5 linked regions of the Rattus norvegicus genome follow. The protein of the gene in region 1 interacts with the protein of each later gene in a pairwise test. Links are inferred from orthologs where the notes say so. Each region holds a gene or a part of one and is shown on either strand. Other genes may lie near its edges.

Region 1 (4,080 bases):
TTGTGGGGCCTGTTGAAATCTTGGGGTAGGGCTGGGGAGATAGCTAGTAGGTAAAGCACTTTGCACGTGAGTAGACTCATGTCTGAATCCAAGAACCCACATAAAATCAGGGGCAGCTCATGTCTATGATCCCAGAGCACCCAAAGCAAAACTGGAGTGAGAGGCAGGAGAACTCTTGGAAGCTCAAGCAGCAGACGGATGGCCACCTGCTCACAGCAGCAAACAGGAGACCCTGTCTCGAAACAGGCGAAAGGGAGTCTAACACCAGGGGCCACCCTCTGATCTACACACAGCATGGCACACATAAATGCTTACACACGCTCCCCGCCTCCTCACCCCCACATGGCTTTAGGGTATCTCCTGTAAGTACATGATCTCTGGAGATAGCTCCTAGTAACGGTTTCTTTAATTCCCAGGACCCCTTTACTTCCCTCCTTCTTATGAATGGATGTTAGAAATACAGCTGGTTCCTACCTGTGCTCAGGAAAGGCAAAAGTTGCCAGATAAACCGTGTGTACTGAGATTGCATACGTCCACCCGGCTCAGAGGTTTAACAGTTCACAACATTAGCTGGGTTTAATTCCTTTGGTAAAATGGTGGGTCACCCTACAGTTTTAGAGGATAAGACGCCCCCTTCTGGCCTCCACAGGCACTGCATGCACATGGTGCACAGACAATACAGGCAGGCAAAATACCCAAACACATAAAATAAAAATAAATAAGAGAGAGAGAGAGAGAGAGAGAGAGAGAGAGAGAGAGAGAGAGACTGGCTATCCTTTTTCCTTTTCTTTTCTTTCTCCTTAACTATGCCCACTGCCTTGGTCTCTCCCTGTCATTTGAGACAACCTCTTACCATGCAGACAAACTTACTTTATGTCAACTTACTCTGGCCCTCTTCTCTCTGCCTGGGCTGAGATTGCAGGCATTTGCCACCACTCTAGGCCTAAGACTATTTTCACAGAGTATAGTGCCAGGCTGCAGGATTCCAGGGCAGTGTGAAAGGTTGCCACTATCTACTTCCTCCTTGTCCCTTGCTCTGCCTTCCCTGGGAAGTGTCTCCTAGCCAAGGCCTAGGGAGCCAGGCGCGGTGAGACAGTGCCAGGATGCCAGGACACCTGCGGCAGCTCACAGGCAGAGCAAGTACAGGGCATGGTGTGACACTACCCAGGAAGCAGCCCCCGGGGAGCTGGGTCCTGCTGCTGCTGCTGCTGCTGCTGCTGCTGCTGCTGCTGCTGCTGCTGCTGCTGCTGCCACACCCTGATGTCTTATATGTCATCCTTCTGCCTGGCCTCTGCCACTGGGCTGCTGCTTTTCTAGGCTTTGATCTGGGGAAGTTGAACCCAGACGTTGGGATTTGGATAGAAATACTAGGGATAAAATGGGTCAGGGTGTCTGGCCTTCCTGGGTTGCAGGGCTCTAAATCAGAGTGGCAGTTGGATTCTGGCTATCACCAATGAGAATGAGTGAGATGGTGAATGAGATGGCCAACAACACTGCCTTCATCTGCAGCTCTGGACTGGTCCTACACTCTTTGTAAAAATGGGGAAACTGAGGCCCAGACAGGCACAAGATGCCCTCCCTCTCCAGGCAAGGCCCTCTGTCCTCTGTGAAATCAGTTTCAAGGGAGGAAGTCCATCACATACTCTTCTAGCACGGACCCCAAGCAGAGCTAGCCACAAAGGAAGGGAGGGTGGCTTACTAACCCTCATCCTCCCGGCTTTGGCCCCAGGTGAGGCTGGGGCAGAACCACATGAGTAAGAGGTCCTAAGAGTTCCCCGTGGTGTGGAAGCATTATCTTCAGGAGAAACACATCTCCAGCTTTAACCGAAAGGTCTCAACTTGTCTCCAAGAGCCACAAGGGACAGTCAGGAGTGGAGGAGTCAGGGGGAAGCTGGAGGCAAAGTGGAAAACAAGAAACCTGGGCAAACCTTGTGGTCTCCACTGCTCTTGCCCACCAGGTTCCCATATTTCATGGGCAAAAAGATTTGATTTACACCTGCACTGAATTGGAAAAGTCAGGCAGGAAGCTACCTAGCCCACCCTCCTTCAAGTGCCTGAGGCATGCAGAGATCAGAGGCTGGGTCAGAGAAGGAGGCTTAACACTGGTAAGACACCAGGACTTTCCTGCATTCGACCACCTTCAGTTCAAATATCTGAACTTATCTCCATTACACAGATGTAGAAACTGAGGCCCAAAGAGAAACAGCAACCGACCTAGCCCTTACAAAGCTGAAACCCAAACCCAACCAAAGCTGGCCTGGTGCCATGGCTGCTGACTTCTCCCTTGTCACATTCCTCCCTATGTATCCTCCTCAAATCCTCCATTAGGCTGTCCTGGTGAGCTCTGCCGCTGTCCCAGAGGAGAATCAGCCTGTGAGTACAGGGGTCGGCTCTCTGTTGTCAGTGGGGGTAATGCCTGTGAGAGAAATTCATTATCTCAGGGCCCATCTTTTGCCTTTCCCGTCAGTAGAGACTGTGGCCCAGGTCACCTCCATGATAATTAGGACCAAAGGCAAGGCACAATTTTTATGGGAAAACTGTACCCCATGTCAGTCTCCAAGGTGATTCCCGCCTGGCTGGACCTGTTCCGCAAGCTCACCGCCCCAAGTCGATTCCACTCACCCAGAAGGCATCGCGGAACTGCAGCTGGGCGGTCATCGTCTTGTCTGTTGTGTCAAATGCTAGCACTCCTGCTTCAAACAGGGCTGAATGCGGGCCAGGAGCCAGGAGCAAGTCCCAGTTCTAGCGCGGCTAGACCAAGCTCTCCCTCCCACTTCCAGTCGGCGCCGTCTGAAACGCTCAGAAGGCAGCCACAAGTCAGAGGCAACTGCCGGAGGGAGGAAAAAGGCTCAACCTGTTTTGTTTGGGGCTAGAATCAGCAGCGAAATGAGGAAGGAGCCCTGCCCAGTGATGGATGGGTGGGCCACGATTTCCAGCCTGGCTCTCGCCAGCCCCGTGATGGAAGAGGACGCAGGCTGAGGCCCAGGGCAGGCAGCCCAGGTGGCGGGCAGAGGCTGGGAGAGAGGCAGGATGTGCACAGGCCAGGCAGGCAAGCAGCCTGAGGCCTGCACAGGAAGATTTGTGCAACATCCCCCCAGGGCAGGCGCAGGACTCTAACCCACAGGAAGTTGAGCTGCTGCGTTTCTTCTGCACAGCCCTGCCTGCCACCTGCCACTCTGCTGCCTGCTCATATCCTGGCCCAGTTTAGCTTTAGAACTGTCAAGTTAGGAATCCCGTGGCTGTTACCCTCACAGGCCCCAAGAGGTTAGGTTTTTGGGGTCTCACCCGAGTCAAAGACATCCACCATTCATTCCAACCTTAGCAGTTCATGCCCTAGACTAGGTCCCAACCCTCAAGTAGCTCACAGCATGGGGCAGACTCAGCCCTGGTCCAGGGGCTATGAGAGCGGAAAGGTGGGGTGAGCAGGTAACCAGCTAAGGACCTCAGCCTGACGAGGCATGGGTCCTGGTCCCCGTGCAAATCTTCACCCATCCCTCTTCAGTTCACAACTGTGATAGTGATAGACGGAGGGAGACAGGAGTCTGGAGACTCGTTCAGCTTTTGTTTAATTTGGACTCCGCCCTTCAATAGTGGAAGGACCTTGATTGACCTAACTCAGAGCCTCAGCCTCCCCACCGTCGTGCACCTCCCCCCCACCCCCACCCCCGCCCACGGTCTTTGGGAAAGTTTTTCATATCAAGAATGCTTCTGGAATTTCTCTTTGTAGGGCAAGCAGGTCTGGGGAACACTATCCAGAGTCAGGATTTGTCCACTCAGCAGAGGCTTCTGGGAGTCCTGAGCCCCGGGTGGGCTGGTGAAAAGAATGAGTCAGGGATTGTCCACAAATCACCACCCTCGCCGAGGCTTACCTTAGGACCAACTGGGTTGATCAGACAGCTGAGCTCCCAAGTGTGGGTTACGTGCCAGGGCTGAAAGAGAGACACACCCAGACTTCCTTAAACAACCCCCAAGAAGAAACACAGCAGGCCTGGTGCTGGAAGCCTTTCTCTCTAGAATCCCAGGGCTTGAGCTCAAAGGGCTATGAGCATCTTTTAAAAAGAGATTTATTTCTAATTTTTA
Region 2 (4,205 bases), on another chromosome or scaffold:
AGAGTAGCACTTGTCCATGAACTATACCCGCCTACTCATATAATTTAAATTATTCCTGGATTGCTAATACCTAATACCTAGTAACAATGGAAAGTCGTACATATTCAATATAAATGAAATTTGGCGCCTATGTTTTGATTGTTTTATTTAATTTTATTTTGAAGCTAGAGACTGAACCAGGACTCACACCATTACTAAGGTACTGCCACATAGTTCAATTGTTTTCTCTTATCAGACATTTAGTTAATTTCCTTCTGGTTACTTTGCAAATGTCAACTCATTAGTTTCTACGACAAAAACCCTTGGAGACAAGACTATCAGCATTCTACTTATAGATAAGGAGACAAAGGTATCTAATTTGTCCAGGCCTATAGAGAGTGAGTGGCAGAACCACAATTCAGTGTTCCTAAACATTGTCCACCTCCTAGATCACAGTTACGTGTCTCTTCAAGACGTTTCTGTTACTCTTTACCTATGCACTGTTACATCTTTAATTACTAGCTAATGAATTCTTATTCCCTGAAAAGTTCTTAAAAGGATCATCTTACAGTGTCATATCTTCCAATATGCACATAAAGACATGTTTGTATGCATATGTGTATATGTCTTTTCAGACAGTGTCTCCCTACATAACTCTCACTAACATAGAGCTAACTGTGTAGACCATGCTTACCTTAAACTCTTACGGATCCCCCTACTTCTGCCTCTCAAGTGTTGGGATTGAAAGTGTGCACCACCAAACCTTACTGTGTTTTCAATGTAAAAGCAAGAATCTAATATTACCTTGTCATAAGTTCTCTATTAACAAAAAAGTAGTATGTTTTGTATTTTTCCTTATTCGTGTGTGTATGTGTGTGTAAGTGTAAAAAGTAGTGGAGTAATAATTAAATAATGAACTCCACCCCAACAAATATTTACCAGAGTTGATGAGGTAAATATTTGTAACTACTAAGTAATTGTCTTGAAATAAATATTTTTATTTATTTTGGAGCACTTTATTGTATCTTTTTTGAGTTGAACATTCAAAGCACTAATGATTTCATACAGAGAATGGACTGTGTTTGGATACTATTTCAAACAAACCAACAACACCAGACATTTTATAGAAAAGGAAGAAAGCTCAAACAGACTGAGTTATAAGCTATATCCAAGAAGTATTTCTACATGTGTATTGTGGTAATGATTTGCAGTTATATTTTAAAGGCGTTGCTAATTATAAATAACACCTGGATATTTAGAGATAAATATAAACTATGTGAAAATTGCTTTTGAAAATTCTAGATAGACATAAAATTTTAGGAGAAAAATATTAAATGACAAAATTCACAGAGACACATGGTGGCGCTGTAGGATAAGATCAAACAGTGCGTAGCCCGCCCTGTGGGTTCCACTATCCGAAGGACCAATTCAGTGAGAAGGGACGTATTACAGGAGCTTCACCGACGGAGCTGACAAGGGATTTTCAATAGAAATATCGGACCTTTGTCTCCCAAATTTGGGATTGAATTTAAATTTTGGAGTAGAAGAAGTCACCTGAAGGAACCATGGGAAACAGAAAGACTATCATCCTGCAGAAACGGCAAGTCTTGGTTTTCTTTGTTTTGCTGGGATTGTCTCGGGCGAGTGCTGAGTCTTTGCGCTATTCTGTAGCAGAGGAAACAGAAATTGGCTCTTTTGTGGCTAATCTGGCAAGGGATTTAGGGCTGGGGGTTGCGGAGCTGTCCTCCAGGGAGGCCAGGATAGTGTCAGACGATAATAAAAAGCATTTACTCCTTAATTTGCTGACCGGAGATGTGCTCCTGAGTGAGCGACTGGACCGTGAAGAGCTGTGTGGCTCCACCGAGCCCTGTGTGCTGCCCTTTCAGGTGGTACTGGAAGACCCTTTACAGTTCTATCGAGCTGAGCTGCATGTCAGAGACATAAATGATCACGCCCCTACATTCCTAGACAAGGAAATAACTATTAAAATACCAGAAAGCGCTGCTATCGGAGCCACATTTTTAATTGAGAATGCACAAGATCTGGACATAGGAAGCAACAGTCTCCAGGACTACAGCATTAGCCCCAGTTCTCATTTCTATGTTAAAATTCATGAGAGTGGTGATGGAAAGATATATCCAGAGCTGGTACTGGACAAAGCTTTAGATCATGAGGAAGAATCTGAGCTTAGATTGACACTTACAGCATTGGATGGCGGGTCTCCACCCAGGTCTGGGACAACATTAGTTCTCATAAAAGTCTTGGACATCAACGATAATGCTCCTGAGTTTGCTCAGAATTTCTATGAGGTGCAGGTCCCAGAGGACACACCCATTGGCTCCAGTATTATTACTATCTCTGCTAAAGATTTAGATATGGGAAATTATGGGAAAATATCATATTCATTTTTGCATGCAACAGAAGATGTTAGAAAAACCTTTGAAATCAACCCAACATCTGGGGAAGTCAATTTGAGATCACTGCTGGATTTTGAAGTAATACAGTCCTATTCTGTAACTATCCAAGCAACAGATGGTGGAGGTCTTTCAGCAAAATGCACTCTTTCAGTTAAAGTATTAGATATAAATGACAATGCACCAGAAGTGATCATATCATCGGTTACAAAGACAATTCCAGAGAATGCTTCAGAGACCCTGATCACTCTGTTCAGTGTCCGAGATCAAGACTCTGGAGACAATGGAAGGATCCTTTGCTCTATTCCGGATGACCTTCCATTTATTCTAAAGCCCACCTTCAAGAATTTTTTCACTCTACTTTCTGAAAAAGCACTGGACAGAGAAAGTAGAGCTGAGTACAACATCACCATCACTGTCTCAGATCTGGGCACACCCAGGCTCACAACCCAGCACACCATAACAGTGCAGGTGTCTGACATCAACGACAACGCCCCCGCCTTCACCCAAACCTCCTACACCATGTTTGTCCACGAGAACAACAGCCCCGCCCTGCACATAGGCACCATCAGTGCCACAGACTCAGACTCAGGCTCCAATGCCCACATCACCTACTCGCTGATGCCGCCTCGAGACCCACAGCTGGCCCTCGACTCCCTCATCTCCATCAATGCTGACAACGGGCAGCTGTTCGCACTCAGGGCGCTGGACTATGAGGTGCTGCAGGCCTTCGAGTTCCGCGTGGGTGCCACAGACAGAGGCTCACCCGCGCTCAGCAGCCAGGCTCTGGTGCGCGTGGTGGTGCTGGACGACAATGACAATGCGCCCTTCGTGCTCTACCCGCTGCAGAATGCCTCAGCGCCCTACACAGAGCTGCTGCCCAGGGCGGCAGAGCCTGGATACCTGGTTACCAAGGTGGTAGCTGTGGACCGCGACTCTGGCCAGAATGCCTGGCTGTCATTCCAGCTGCTCAAAGCCACGGAGCCGGGGCTGTTCAGCGTGTGGGCGCACAATGGCGAGGTACGCACCTCCAGGCTGCTGAGCGAGCGCGATGCACCCAAGCACAAACTGCTGCTGATGGTCAAGGACAATGGAGATCCTCCGCGCTCTGCCAGTGTTATGTTGCACGTGCTAGTGGTAGATGGCTTCTCTCAGCCCTACCTGCCTCTGCCAGAGGTGGCGCACAATCCTGCACACGACGAGGACACTCTAACACTGTACCTGGTCATAGCCTTGGCATCTGTGTCTTCTCTCTTCCTCTTGTCTGTGCTGCTGTTCGTGGGGGTGAGGCTGTGCAAGAAGGCCAGGGCAGCTTCTCTGGGTGGCTGCTCTGTGCCCGAGGGCCACTTTCCTGGCCACCTGGTGGACGTTACCGGCACTGGAACCCTGTCCCAGAACTACCAGTATGAGGTGTGTTTGACAGGAAGTACTGGGACAAACGAGTTCAAATTCCTGAAGCCAGTCATGCCCAGTCTTCAACTCCAGGACCCCGATTCTAATATGCTGGTAAAGGAGAACTTTCGGAATAGCCTGGGTTTTAATATTCAATAAAAATTTCCTTTAAACTTTTATTATTTTCTTTCTATTGACAAATTGCAAAGGCTTGTTTTTTTTTTTCTTAATCTGTATTGGATTTAAGGTCTTCCTGATGTTGCATTCATTTTCATATCACGTGTTTTTCTCAGAGTTACTTTGAAAATCTTTACTGGGATAAGAGTGATGCAAAGAAACACGTTTTGTTTTATTTTGTTGAAGTGTTGTGTTAACCGGTCTGCTGTTTCTTATATAAGACCCAGCAATGGAAATGCTGGT
Region 3 (4,238 bases), on another chromosome or scaffold:
TCTGTCTAGAGTGGAAGAAATCACAGATGCTGGAGAAATGAATTCCTATTAACTTATCCTATGTGTACATAAAGCAGAAGCTCATATTCTAGTGTGGTTAGTGTGGACGTCTCAGTGACCCTCTTATGCATTCAAATAGCATCTCTTTCAACCCTACTCATTAGCATCTAGGCCCTTCTAGGCCAAGCAGAGCTTATGCTGTGCCTTACATGAGTGAAGATTTGTAGCACAAAAAAGGAAGAGGAGGAGGAGGAGGAGGAGGAGGAGGAGGAGGAGGAGGAGGAGGAGGAGGAGGGGTTGGGGATTTAGCTCAGTGGTAGAGTGCTTGCCTAGGAAGAGCAAGGCCCTGGGTTCGGTCCCCAGCGGTCCCCAGCTCCGAAAAAAAGAACGAAAAAAAAAAAAAAAAAAAAAAAAGCAGCAGCAACAGCCACCCAGGGTCACATAGGGAGGGGGGCCAAGTTCAGTGTTCTGCTCTCCTAGCCTTTGTTTGCAGGTATGCTATTCCCTAGTTTTCAAAAATTAATTTCTGGGACTTGGAGAGGTGGCTCAGCAGTTATGAGCCTTGGATACCCAGAAGGCACAAGTTCTATTCCCAGCACCCACATAGTGACTCACAACCATCTATAACTCCAGTTCCGGGGTATCTGACAGCTTTGGGCACCAGGGATGCATATGATATGCAGACACTCACATAGGTGAAACATACGGCACATGCCTTTAATTCTAGCACTAGGGCGCAGAGGCAGTTGGATCTCAGAGTTCCAGACCAGCCTAGGACTGTGTACTGAGATCCTGTCTCAAAATAAATACATTATTTTTTAAGTGAATTTTTGGATTCAACATCAGTGTGCTTTTGGCCTTACTCATTAAGTCTATCTGTTGTAGTTCTGGTCATAAAGTCCTAGAGGGACCAGAGCCACAAAGGCACTGATGCCTGGAGGCATGATTCAATGCAGAGAGGACAGCTTAGTAGCTACCCTCACGAATAAGGACACTTGAAGAGGGTCCCCAGGTAGGGATCCCGCAGTCGGCCTGTGGGCAAGGGCTAACGGTTTGGAAGGCTGAATGAAGGCCTCAGGTATCCTGGAGCAGGTCAGACTGCGAAGCTTCGGGCGACAGAGGTTCGAAAACCCGGGACTACACCCTGGCGCACCACAGTGGAGTGCAGGGAATCACCCTGTCGTGGTCGGCCCTGGAGTGGAGCAGATGAAGACTACTCCGAGAACCAGCTCGGACCCAGCCCCGGGGCTGTTCCCCTCTCTAGCGCACGCGCCATTGCCTCCCGGTGCCTCCCGCCCCCTGGAAACCCTCCAGCATCGCGGCTAGCGTCATTTGCCAGTGAGACGGGAGCGGAGGGTACTGGACCAATGGGCGTCGGCGACAGTGCGGGGTGTGGTTGCCAGGGGCGGGGCCCGACCTCCTCCATCCTCTCCAGCCGGGCGGCGGCGTCTTGGGGTCTGGACGCTGATGCCACCGGTCGGGCGGGTATGGAGGCGGCGCGCTGCGCACCGGGATCCCGCGGGGACAGGTCAGGCGGCGGAGAGACGGGCAGGGGTCTCCAGGGGGGGCGGGCAAGAGCGGAGGCCAGGCTCTTGTACCCAGGCTGGGCAGGGGCTATGCACACCCTGTGTCTCCAGAGCTCTCTTGTCGCTCTCCTGGAGTTTACCCCGAACCAGCTCGCCCTTCACCCCTAGGGCCTCGGAATCTCTGACTTGCAGTGCGCTGTGCTTCCTGCGCCGCAAGCTCTCTCGAGCCGCTCCCCTGGAGTTTACCCCGGACGAGCTCTCCATGCTCCCCTAGGGTCTCGATTCCCTCACTTGCAATGCGTTCTCCCGTCTCTGTCTCTCTCGACTTGGATCAGAACTGAGCTGGAAGGAGGGCACTCCTGGGAGTCGAAGCGGAAGGTCGAGGGTGATGGTTAATTGGTTCCAAGGCCGTTGCTTTTGGCAGTCATTGCGGAATTCTGGAACGAGTCCGAGGACTGAAAATGCAAAACTGTTCTTTTCTTCTTTCTTTCTTCCCCTGAGTTCCAGGAGTTCTTTCAGTGAGGCCTGTCTTAGTTTAGACTGTTCCATACTCTCGTTAGTGCCCCCGATTTCTCTACCAAGACCCCTCTTTTTTCCTGGTTCACAGAGTGAGCTTGGGAAAGCAAACGGGCTGCAATCCCAGCCTCCTCATTTCTCGTCAGCTAGGCTAACGAAAAGTTAATGGGGGGCCCTGTGAAATCACTGTCTCAAAACTTCAGCATTGTGTGAGGATTGAAACCAAACACGCCAACTGCATTCTTCCTTTACCCTTCCGTTACCACAGCAGATAAAGACTTGGCGTAAGGATTTAGTCTGACGTTTAAACGAGTTTTTAACTGGCCCGAAACCATCTTTTAAGAAGTTACAATAGAGACCCGTGCTCTCCATCGGTGTCATACAAGACTAAGCTTCCCTCAAACTTGACAATAAGGCTGACTTTGAACATTTGTTTCCTACCTCTGCTTCCCAAGGCTGACCTATTTTCATCTTTCATCAAGTAAATTCTATAAACTTGATAGCTGCTCGCCGAAATTTGTTTTCAACTCCCCCTCCATTTTGGGAACAGAAAATACATTTGCAAGTATTAGGCCGGGTTAGCAAAGTTAGTATTCAGCATGTCCGGGTGAAATCAGATGATATCTCGTTCAGCTGAGGGATTTCATTTTTAACTAAACGATTTTAGAGAAGTCAATTCCATAGGAATGTAATTTTTATTTTGAGGTAGGTCTTATGTAGCAGGACTGAAACTCGATATTTAAACCAGGCCAGCTTCGAACTCACACAGATCCATCTGTCTCTGCCTTCCATGACTCACGATTTTAGGGAACAGGAACTTGACTTTGAGATTGGGACCAGCTGGCAGGTTTTGTTTTGTTTTGTTTTTTTTTATTTTATTTTATTTTTCATCTCCTGAACTTGAAGCTTAAAGGAATAATTTTAAGCACCTCCCCCATTCTTCCAAAGAAAAGAAACCGACTCTAATTTCTAGTTGATTGACACGTTAGGAGCCAGTGCGAGGCCCTAGTTTCTCCTGCCCTAGGTAGAGCATGAAGCTCTGTCACTGTTTAACTCGTTTGTTGCTAAAAGCCAGTGAATGTCTCCCTTTTTAGGCTGTCCTTAATAGTTTTTTGAGAGAGACTGAGACTGACTTGGTTGAATGTCAGTATAATCCGGTAATCCAGGCTAGCCTCAAACTCAAAATCCCCCCTGCCTGAGCCTCCCAAGTGTCTTATATAGGCATGCATCACCAAGCCTGGACGTACTTGTGTACTAGGTTCTCTCTCTCTCTCTCTCTCCCCCTCTGTCCCTCTCTCCCTCACTCCCTTCCCACCCCTCTCAGGTTTGAAATTTTCTTTACATCCTTACCAAAATTTCCCCTTCCCCCTCTCCTCCCAGTATCCTCCTCCCTTCCCACCCCCCCACCCCCCATCTACTCCTCTTCTCTTTCTCTTCAAGAAAGGGCAAGCCTACCCATAGATATCAGCCAGTCATGGCATATCAGGTTGCATTAAGACTAGGCACCTCCTCTTCTATTAAGGCTGGAGGAGGCCATCCAATAGGAGGAAAGAATCCCCAAATGAGGTAACAGAGTTAGAACCAGCCCCTGCTCCCACTTTAGGAGTCTTATAAGAAGACTATGCTACACAATTGTAACATATGTGCAGAGAGCCTAGGTCAGTCCCATGCATGCTCCCTGGTTGGCGGTTCAGTCTCTGTGAGCGCCTGTGAACCTCAGTTAGTTGATTCTGTAGGTTTTCTTGTGGTGTCTTTGACCCCTCTGGCTTCTTCAATCCTCCTTCTCTTCCACAGGATTCCCTAAGCTCCACCTAATGTTTAGCTGTGGGTCTCTGTATCTGTTTTCATCAGTTGCTAGGTGAAGCCTCTCTGATGATGGCTACATTAGGCTCCTGTCTGCAAGCATAGCAAACAGGATATCATTAACAGTGTCAGGGGTGATCTCTCTCTTACGGCATGGGTCTCAAGCTGGACCAGTCACCGCTTGCCCATTTCCTCTTCCTCTGCTCTGTCTTTACCCCTGTACATCCTACAGGCAGGACAGATTGTATGTAGGTTGAAGGGTTTGTGGCTGGGTTGCTGTCTCCATCCCTCCACTGGAAATCTTGTCTCGGTTTGGGCTCCACATCCCCATTGTTAGGAGTTTTAGCTAGGGTCACCCTCACAGATTCCTGGGAGTTTCCATTGCATGAGATT
Region 4 (4,124 bases), on another chromosome or scaffold:
CATTAGACATGTCTCCAAAATTCACCCAAAAATCAAAATACAGCCAGGCACTTAATTTTTGCACTGAGGGGCAGAGGCAGGAGGATCTAAGTTCCAGGGTAACTGGGTCACACAGCAAAACAAACAAACAAACAACAACAACAACAATATCACAAGGGGCTGGAGACAGGGCTCAGTGGTTGAGAGCACAGCTGCTCTTCTGGATGACCTGGGTTCAATTCCCAGCACCCACATGGTAGCTCACAAATGCCTATAACTCCAGTTCCAGGGGAACCAACACACTCACAGAGACATGCACGCAGGCAAAACACCAATGCACATGAAATAAAAATAAATCATTTAAAACAGAAGAAACAAACATCAAGGACTCAGATCCTCGGGGCCATCGTGCCCAGCCTGGTGACTCTGGGTCACGAGAGGGCTGGGGGAGCCTGCAGCACAGGGCCCTTCCTGAGAAGAGCTAGGGGTGGGGGTGGGGGTTCAGTGGCAGGAAGTGAGGCTGGAGCCCATTTCCTGCAGAGACTTCCTGAAAGGGTAGGAGGCAGAGGATGGCTTCTGTGAAAATGGGTGGTGGGAGGGTGGCCTTGGTGATCAGTGACAATGGTGTCCAGTCTGACCCTCAAATAAACAGTGAAAAAGAGGCACAGTCTGGCAGCCTGTGGCTAAGCTCCAGGGAGTTGGAGCCATGGTCATCCTTGGCTACAATGTGAGGTCAGCCTGGGCTACATGAGACCCTGTTTCAATAAAGGAACAAATAGAACAGTCAAACTCCTGAAGACAAGGCACAGCAAAGGCTCAGGGGCAAACATCACTAAACAAGAACAGGCGCACATACACAGCTCTTCTGGAGCTGTTATGGCCAGCACAGGCTAGTCTGGCTGTGAGGCAGCCATGGTAAGGTCCAGCCTACTACTGAGCTTTTGTCCCTCCTGCCCGGGCCCCAGCCACCTCCCAGGGTGCCCTTCCCCAGACTTTCTTTGCCCAATCCTGCTGAGCATGTCCCCTCCTGTGACTAGGCCCCTAATGGCCACCCTGGGCTGCCAGCCTGTTTCCACCCACCACAGCAGGGGCCGCTCTCTAATTACAGGGTGATCAGCACCAGTCTCCCTGGCTAGACAGAAGGTCAGTGTGGGCGCGGGCTCTCCTGCAGCAGGGAGGGGCAGTAAACACTTGCTGAACAGGCAGGGTGGAGATACCCAGCACAGGTGCATCCTGTCCAGAGCCACAGGTAAGTGTGGTGTAGGGACAGGCCGCCACCCCCAGATCTGCGCATGCAGTGGGATACAGAGGAATGGAAGGAATGGGGTTCATAGAGAAGTAATTAGTCCGTGCTCCAGCTGGGCAGGCCTCCCAAAACGAAGGAAAAAAAGCTCAGAGTGAAACGGGCCAGGGTGGACAGGGAGGGTGGAGCTGGGATAGTCACAGGCTTTTGAGTGGGGAGATACAGCTTTACACTGAGCACCTGCACCTGCAGGTGTTATGGCCACTGGCTCTGGGCTCCAGTCCCAGCACCTCCCATCAGAGGAGCAGTTTCAGGAAAGGAAATTCCTTCTCAGCCACCCTCCAGCCTCTCTGGGATCCAGCGTGTAGATGAGACGGCTGGAGGATCAAGCCTTGGGCTCCGAATTCAGAAACTTTCGGCTGGGACACTCCTGTACCAGCTGGGCCGCAGAGATATGGGAGTGTCTGTGCGTACCTGCGTGGAGAGGGTGTCCAGTCCTGGACACACCTGGCCATCCCTTCAGGGAGGCTCAGAGGCTGGGCGGGTGCTTTATGGTGGGAATAGACTGAAGGAGTCTCAGGGGCTCAGGGTACACCTAGTGGGGAGTGCTTACACAGCATGTGTTAGGCCCTGAGGTCCTGCACCACAAAACCCAGGGTCGCTCTGGAGTAAAGGCAGGATCAGGAGTTCAGTCATACGTGATTACAAAGGAAGTTCAAAAGCAGCCTGGGCTATATGAGATCTGCCTCCCGTCCTAACCCAAACATGGAGGTATACACGTGTCCTTTCCATACTCCACTGATTGAAGCAAGAGGATGAGTTTGAGGCTAGCCTGGATTACGTTAAGTTCAGATCAGAAAGCCTAACCAAAAAACAAAACCAAATATTCTACCATCAAGAACTGAGATGGGCATGTCCAGCTCTCCCAACTTGGGCCAACGCGCCCCTCGATAGAGCAGCAGGGAAACCTGGCCTCCTCTATTCCATCATGTCAGGTCCCACAACTGGGAAGGCCTGAGCCTGAACTAGGAGAAAAAATTTCCTTCCTCCCGAGCAGGACCTGCTATGTGTCCAAGGGAGAGAAACATCCCTCAATCTGGGTTGGACTTTCGGCCAAAGGCGTAGGCAGCTGAGGTCAGACACTTGATAAGCATCAAGTGGGCAATGGAACCCACGTGAGCCCTTAGGTCCGCCCACTTCCCGGAAACGCAGCAATCCTATCAAAAACGGTGACAAGCTCCGGAAGCGATCATAGTCCTTCCGGCCGCAAAAAACCTTGTCCATTCAAGAGATAAATCCGCAACGGTGGCGGACTGGGACCCTAGAGAGACACTGGTCACCTCCGGCCTCAGGTTTCCCCATCTCTCAGCAGCCCGAAGACCCTGAGCGCGCGCCCCGCCGCCTCGCGGCCCTCACCATCTTCCCTGCAGAGATAACTTCCGCCGCTGCACAGCCACTCGCACTCCCACCGGCAGTCTACCGCGCGCTCCAGCCTGAAAAAGACTGGCAGAAACTATAACCAATCAGCGAGTGACTAAATGGACCGATCCAATCGGAACGGGATAAGGCGGTGCCTACATAACGCGGCGGCGTATCGCGTCGTATTCCCACCGTGGGATTGAGGAGCGGCCGTAAAGCGTGACACCGGAGTGACGCAAAAGGCCGCGGTGCTCTTCATGCCCACTCATGGTGTATGTTGGGAAATGGCGCCTGCGCAGATGTGCACTCCTGACTGGTTCGGCGCCACACTGTGGGCGAAACTGGCTAATGCATGTGAATCGCGCTGGGCTGGGGAAACCCGCTTCATACCCTCTTCGCGCTCCTATCTTTCCGTCCTCGCCCTTATGGAGCTCTTTCTCTTTATCAATCCAAATATAATCCTTGAACGCGAACGTCAGGGCCAGCGTTCCCCGGCGACAGGAAACAAATCGCTGGAATTTTCGTGTTTTGAGATGGGTTCTTGTGGCAGCTGAAGCTGATCATGAACTCGCAATAGCCTGGTACGCAACTTCTTCAGTGCTGGCATGGCCGCTGTAGGCTACCAAGCCAGCACCTTGTTTTTTTGTTTTTGTTTTTGTTTTTTTTTAATCGTTATCATTTTGGGAAGAGGTTAGGGTTTCTCTGTGCAGCCCTAACCGGCCTGGAACACTCAGTGTTGACCAGGCTGGTCTCAAACTTCCTGAGATCTTGGTGCTGGGATTGCAGGTGTGTTTTAATCTGTCGTCTTGAGATACAAAGTTAGGTTCTCATGCTTGCCCAGTGTTAGGGTCCATGATTCGCCACCGAAGAATGATACCGTGGATTCAAATAGTATGTAAAGGCAATGAATGTTTTATTCTGCAGAAGTCCAGCATGCTGTGGTCTCCCATTACCAGAATAGACACCCAAGTGAACTTGGAAGTCTGATTTAAAGCACATTAGGGAATTCTGGGGTAGGTGACCTCTATGTTAATCTGTTGGGTCCATCTCTACAGACATTCCATTACTGGGGTGTGGGGGCTGGAAACTTACTGGGGAGGGCTGGAAACTGCTGCTGAGGAAGTCTGGAAACTGCTGTTGACCCAGCCATTGTCCTTGCCTCAGGCCAGGTGGCAGGGCAGCTTCTGAGGCCTGGACTTGCCTGGAATTGCCCAGTTCTTGGAAACTGATTTAGGCCTACTCTCCTTAACTGCCAGTTTGAAGTCTGTCATGGAATCAGTCTAGCCTTTTCACCAGTCAGCCTTTTTTACCCATGGATCCAACTCCCCTGCCCTTCTATTTATTTTTATTTCCTTTGGCTACTGGCGATGGAATCGGAGCTCTGCCCTGAGCTGTCCCGAGCAGGACAGCTGTTTTACCAAGCTTCTGGAAGGCCTGGTGCAGAATGTCAGTGATGAGCTCACTTGTACGGTTCCTCTGCCCC
Region 5 (4,201 bases), on another chromosome or scaffold:
AAGAGTAGAAATTCTTTTATGTTAAGTCTTATTACACTTGGGTCCCCCCCGCCCCCGGAATTAATGTTTTAACTCAACTGTAATGCATTGTTGTGGCTGTTGTAAGTACCTGAAATGGAAAAATCATGATTTTGAAGATCTTTTCCCAGTGAATTCTAAAGACTCAAAATACTGGATGTTCACTGTATCTCTTGCCCATGTGACTTCTCTGTTGTCTTTTTAGGGACACTAGTCCTTGCATCCTTGAACCTCTCCCAGATCACGAACCCTGTTCTTTTTTTTCTCTCTCCCAGTTATGATTGTCCTGGTCTCTCCGTCTCCATTGCCATCTACAGTCTTAATTATCCTGGATATTTTGGATTTGGTTGTTCACTACCATTTTATAGTCTTAGGACAAGAGAGATGGCTTGGTACTTAAGAGCACTGGCTGCTCTTCCAGAGGACCCAGGTTCCATTCCCAGCATCCATAAGGCAGCAGTTCACAATCATCTGTAACTCCGATTCCAGGAGATCCCATGGCCTCTGCTGGCCTCTTCAGGAACTGTGTGTGTCTCAGTTACTTTTCAATGGCTGTGACAAGTCATCGTGACCAAGGCAACTTACAGGAGAATTTATTGGAGTCTTAAAATTCCATGACCACCATGACAGGTAGTATGGCGGCATGCAAGCATAGTGCTGGGACAGTAGCTGGGAGCTTACATTCCTATCCACAGCAGGAGAGGGGGAGGGGGAAAGGGAGAGAGGGAGAGAGGCCAGGAGGGGGAGGGAGAGAGACAAGGAGGGGGAGGGAGAGAGGGAGGGAAAGAGAGGGATGGAGGGGGAGGGGGAGGGAGAGAGACCAGGAGGGGGAGGGAGAGAGACCAGGAAGGGGAGGGAGAGAGATCAGGAGGGGGAGGGGGAGAGGGAGGGAAAGAGAGGGATGGAGGGGGAGGAGGAGGGAGAGAGAGAGAGAGAGAGAGAGAGAGAGAGAGAGAGCGCTCATGAGCCAAGCTCTAACAGGACCGCAAGGGCTTTAAAGCCCTCTAAGCCCAGTGACACACCTCCAACAAGGCCACACCTCCTAATCCTTCCCAAACATACATTTCTGAATTCTATTCCCTTATGAACATTTGCCAGTGAGTCTACCTGATCCTGCTGAAGGCAGCACAGCTGAGTGGACAGCTGTTTAAGCCCTGGTTTACAAAAGGGTAGCTCTGGCAACTGCCCTCCCAGTTCCTCTTCTTCTGGTGAGGTGCTAAAACCCAACACCCTAAACTGTTTTGTAAAGATTAAAATGTGGCACAGGCTCCTGTTTCAGCTAAGGAGGGCAGCAAATGCACGGGTCTGCTAGGGGCTGTGGGTGTGTTTTCTTCCCTACTGTGAACGGCAAGCATGAGAGGCATGTGGTTCAGAGTGTTGGGTGTGGCTTCTGCCAGCCTCACCACAGCCCTGGCAGAAAGAAGAACTCAGAGCCACCACTGGGAAAAGAATTGTAAAGATGAGATGTAAATTCCTAGGGAGTTTCTTTCTGCTCTTCAGCCTGTCCAGCAAAGGTAAGCATGGGTGTGGAGCTCCTCTGGAGACCTCAGAGTGGACCTGAGAGGCAAAGAGGGAGATTCTCGGTAGTCCCAAGACCTCAGAAACCATCTTACTTTTTGACAGGAGCAGACTGCAGAGACAGTGGGACCGTCTGGGGTGCCCTGGGTCATGGCATCAACCTGAACATCCCTAACTTTCAAATGACTGATGATATTGATGAGGTGCGATGGGAGAGGGGGAGCACCCTGGTTGCCGAGTTTAAAAGGAAGATGAAGCCTTTTTTGAAATCGGGAGCATTTGAGATCTTAGCAAATGGAGACTTGAAGATAAAGAATCTGACAAGAGATGACAGTGGCACCTATAATGTAACGGTATACAGCACAAATGGGACACGTATCCTGAACAAGGCACTGGACTTGAGGATTCTAGGTAAGTCTTCATTCCTTAAAGTTTTTCATTTTAGGACGGGTGCTATGTAGCAAGTTGGGGAGTAGCGTTTCTGTAACATCCCTGTCTGTCGTTTCTTGTTGGCTCACAATGAAGACTCCAGTGGGTGAGGGTGGTCCTCAAGTCTGTCTGCCTTTCCTTCTCTCTTTGGCATGGCTGTGGGGGCTGTGTAAAGACTCCCAGGTTAAAGACAGGCATTAATAAGATAGAAAACAGGTCGGCAGAGATAAAGGTGGACATCCTTGGTGGCTGATGAAGTTGTAGACAGGGCATCAGAGGGTCTCCAGGGAGCAGTGAGTCTCTTGTCTGGAGAGCTAAGTTCAAGCCAGGGTGCTCTGAAGGAGTTAGAGGGCAAGATAGGGCTAGCTACAGATGCTGACCCAAAGGAAGACTAGAGATGCTGAGCTGAAGAAGGCTGGAGATGCTGAGGCAAAGGACCAACAGCTTCTCTGTTTAGTCTTCTCAACATCAAGGAAGGTGGACGGTAATTTTGCTGGTCCCTGAACTAAACACACAAGGTGCGACTTTGTCTTTGTGTACACAGAGAGGGCAGGATACTGAAGAGGAATATGAGAAGACTAGCCAGGAAGCCTCTACTGTAATCCAAGTGAGGCCAAGCCGGTGGCCTTAATCTTGGTAGCACACAAGAACCAGCAAGAGAGCTGTAAGAAGTGACTAATGACCAGACTCCCGGCATGGTGTCTGTGCAGCAGTGAGTGGGAGCTTCTAGTGAGTAGTTGTCATTGATAGGCATTGGCCTGGAGTAGAGGGTCCCTGAGAGGTAAGGAGGGACGCAAGCATGCCGGGTGTGGGTGTGAGAAATGAAGGAAGCTTGGGTGGGTGAGAAAGAGGAGAACGAAGCATGGAATGCCACAGGCGGCAAAAGTCCAGGTACAAGTGGGCAGCTCGCACCAATGGGTGAGAGAGGAAAGCCTGCCCTTGGCTTTCAGAGAAAGCTGAGAATGCCTTGTCCAGTATAGATCAGCCATTCGGGGAGTACACAAATGTTCTGAGATTCACACAGGAAATGTCAGTAGAGAAAGGGCTCCCCTCATCCCATCTGAGGGTGTCCTTCCTGCTCTGTACTCAGCAACTGGGTCTAACACCAACCCCTCTCCAGGGCCCACTGTTAGCTCCTCTGTGTACAACCCCTTCCAGAACCTAATCCTGTAACTTTATCTAGAGGGAATATTCCAGAAACGGAATGGGAATGAGAACCACTGATCGTGGGCACCGGGAATGGCCGGTCATGACCACAGGCCATGCGGCTCTAGGGTCCTGTTGTGATATTGAGCTGTACTGAGCTCTGTATAGAAGCCCATACCTATGCTCTGACACTGTCACCTTCATTTTGGGGTGATAATGGCTACTGGGGAGAAGTCAGGAGCTTGTGGACCTAGTTTTCTTTAGCAATCCCAAGAACTTAAAATTACAAGCGTCTATCCATCTGTAACGAAATAGGCCTGATCAGAAGTGGCCACGTTCTCGATGTTTGACAGGAACAAGGCCAGAATTCCAGCCCAGAGCTTCCCTGGATGAGGACAGTGACATCCCCTCGCAAACAAGCTTATTGTTATGTAATTCATGTACCGCAGATTGCCCATTACCACACACAGTTCAACAGCTTTCTGTAGTCACAGAATTATGTGGTTATCACCATAGGCAGCATTCTCCTTACCCCTAAAAGGAAACCCATACTAAAATCAGTGGCTTCACTGTTACATGCAAATGGCAATGTCACACAGTATGATGACTCAACTTGAGGTCTTGTCACCATTATGTATGACTACATGACTACATATTACACAGCATTGGAAAATTGCCCTCTGTCCGAGAACCTGATTACCCAGTGTAGGTTATATATCACTTACTTAATGAGTTTAGGACTAGAAGTGTTTAGGATTTGGGACTTTTTGAAGATTTCGAAATATTTGCATATATGTATGCTATATCTTGGAGATGGGACCTAAATGTAAACACAACACTCATCCGTGCTTGTATATACCCCATACGCACTATTCAAGACAATTTAAAACAATGTTTTAAATAGTATTGTGTAGGAAACAAGGTCTCACAGCATGAGACTTTCCATGTGTGGTATTGAGTTGTGGCTTGATAGTTTGGAACCTTTCAGATTTATCCATTAGGATGCTCATGGGGCCTGTGATATCCAACGAGGGGTGTCGTGAGTTATGAGTGTGACACGCTCCTCGATGCTGGCTGACATTCAGGGTCC

What was found. The genes of interacting proteins can lie anywhere in the genome.
Region 2: the proteins of Pstpip1 (region 1) and Pcdhb20 interact in binary tests that used the Homo sapiens proteins (3 or more experiments, as listed by UniProt). The two-hybrid records come from large-scale screens. The link is inferred for Rattus norvegicus from reciprocal best matches to the Homo sapiens genes PSTPIP1 and PCDHB14.
Region 3: the proteins of Pstpip1 (region 1) and Tulp3 interact in binary tests that used the Homo sapiens proteins (3 or more experiments, as listed by UniProt). The two-hybrid records come from large-scale screens. The link is inferred for Rattus norvegicus from reciprocal best matches to the Homo sapiens genes PSTPIP1 and TULP3.
Region 4: the proteins of Pstpip1 (region 1) and Lsm4 interact in binary tests that used the Homo sapiens proteins (3 or more experiments, as listed by UniProt). The two-hybrid records come from large-scale screens. The link is inferred for Rattus norvegicus from reciprocal best matches to the Homo sapiens genes PSTPIP1 and LSM4.
Region 5: the proteins of Pstpip1 (region 1) and Cd2 interact in a two-hybrid assay, tested with the Homo sapiens proteins (2 studies listed by BioGRID and IntAct). The link is inferred for Rattus norvegicus from reciprocal best matches to the Homo sapiens genes PSTPIP1 and CD2.

Annotation. Positions count from the first base shown.
Region 1 is NC_086026.1:65,394,348-65,398,427, reverse strand, and holds the start of Pstpip1 (proline-serine-threonine phosphatase-interacting protein 1), read right to left. Parts: upstream 2,801-4,080; 5' UTR 2,659-2,800; coding exon 2,623-2,658; intron 695-2,622; exon of another isoform or gene 1-694. UniProt on the Homo sapiens protein: Involved in regulation of the actin cytoskeleton. May regulate WAS actin-bundling activity. Bridges the interaction between ABL1 and PTPN18 leading to ABL1 dephosphorylation.
Region 2 is NC_086036.1:29,484,483-29,488,687, forward strand, and holds the start of Pcdhb20 (protocadherin beta-14 precursor), read left to right. Parts: upstream 1-1,405; 5' UTR 1,406-1,544; coding exon 1,545-3,944; 3' UTR 3,945-4,205. UniProt on the Homo sapiens protein: Potential calcium-dependent cell-adhesion protein. May be involved in the establishment and maintenance of specific neuronal connections in the brain.
Region 3 is NC_086022.1:163,315,455-163,319,692, reverse strand, and holds the start of Tulp3 (tubby-related protein 3), read left to right. Parts: upstream 1-1,438; 5' UTR 1,439-1,487; coding exon 1,488-1,528; intron 1,529-4,238. UniProt on the Homo sapiens protein: Negative regulator of the Shh signaling transduction pathway: recruited to primary cilia via association with the IFT complex A (IFT-A) and is required for recruitment of G protein-coupled receptor GPR161 to cilia, a promoter of PKA-dependent basal repression machinery in Shh signaling.
Region 4 is NC_086034.1:18,792,057-18,796,180, forward strand, and holds the start of Lsm4 (U6 snRNA-associated Sm-like protein LSm4), read right to left. Parts: upstream 2,801-4,124; 5' UTR 2,726-2,800; coding exon of another isoform or gene 2,642-2,725; coding exon 2,639-2,641; intron 1-2,638. UniProt on the Homo sapiens protein: Plays a role in pre-mRNA splicing as component of the U4/U6-U5 tri-snRNP complex that is involved in spliceosome assembly, and as component of the precatalytic spliceosome (spliceosome B complex).
Region 5 is NC_086020.1:191,409,860-191,414,060, reverse strand, and holds the start of Cd2 (T-cell surface antigen CD2 precursor), read left to right. Parts: upstream 1-1,401; 5' UTR 1,402-1,477; coding exon 1,478-1,532; intron 1,533-1,641; coding exon 1,642-1,947; intron 1,948-4,201. UniProt on the Homo sapiens protein: CD2 interacts with lymphocyte function-associated antigen CD58 (LFA-3) and CD48/BCM1 to mediate adhesion between T-cells and other cell types. CD2 is implicated in the triggering of T-cells, the cytoplasmic domain is implicated in the signaling function.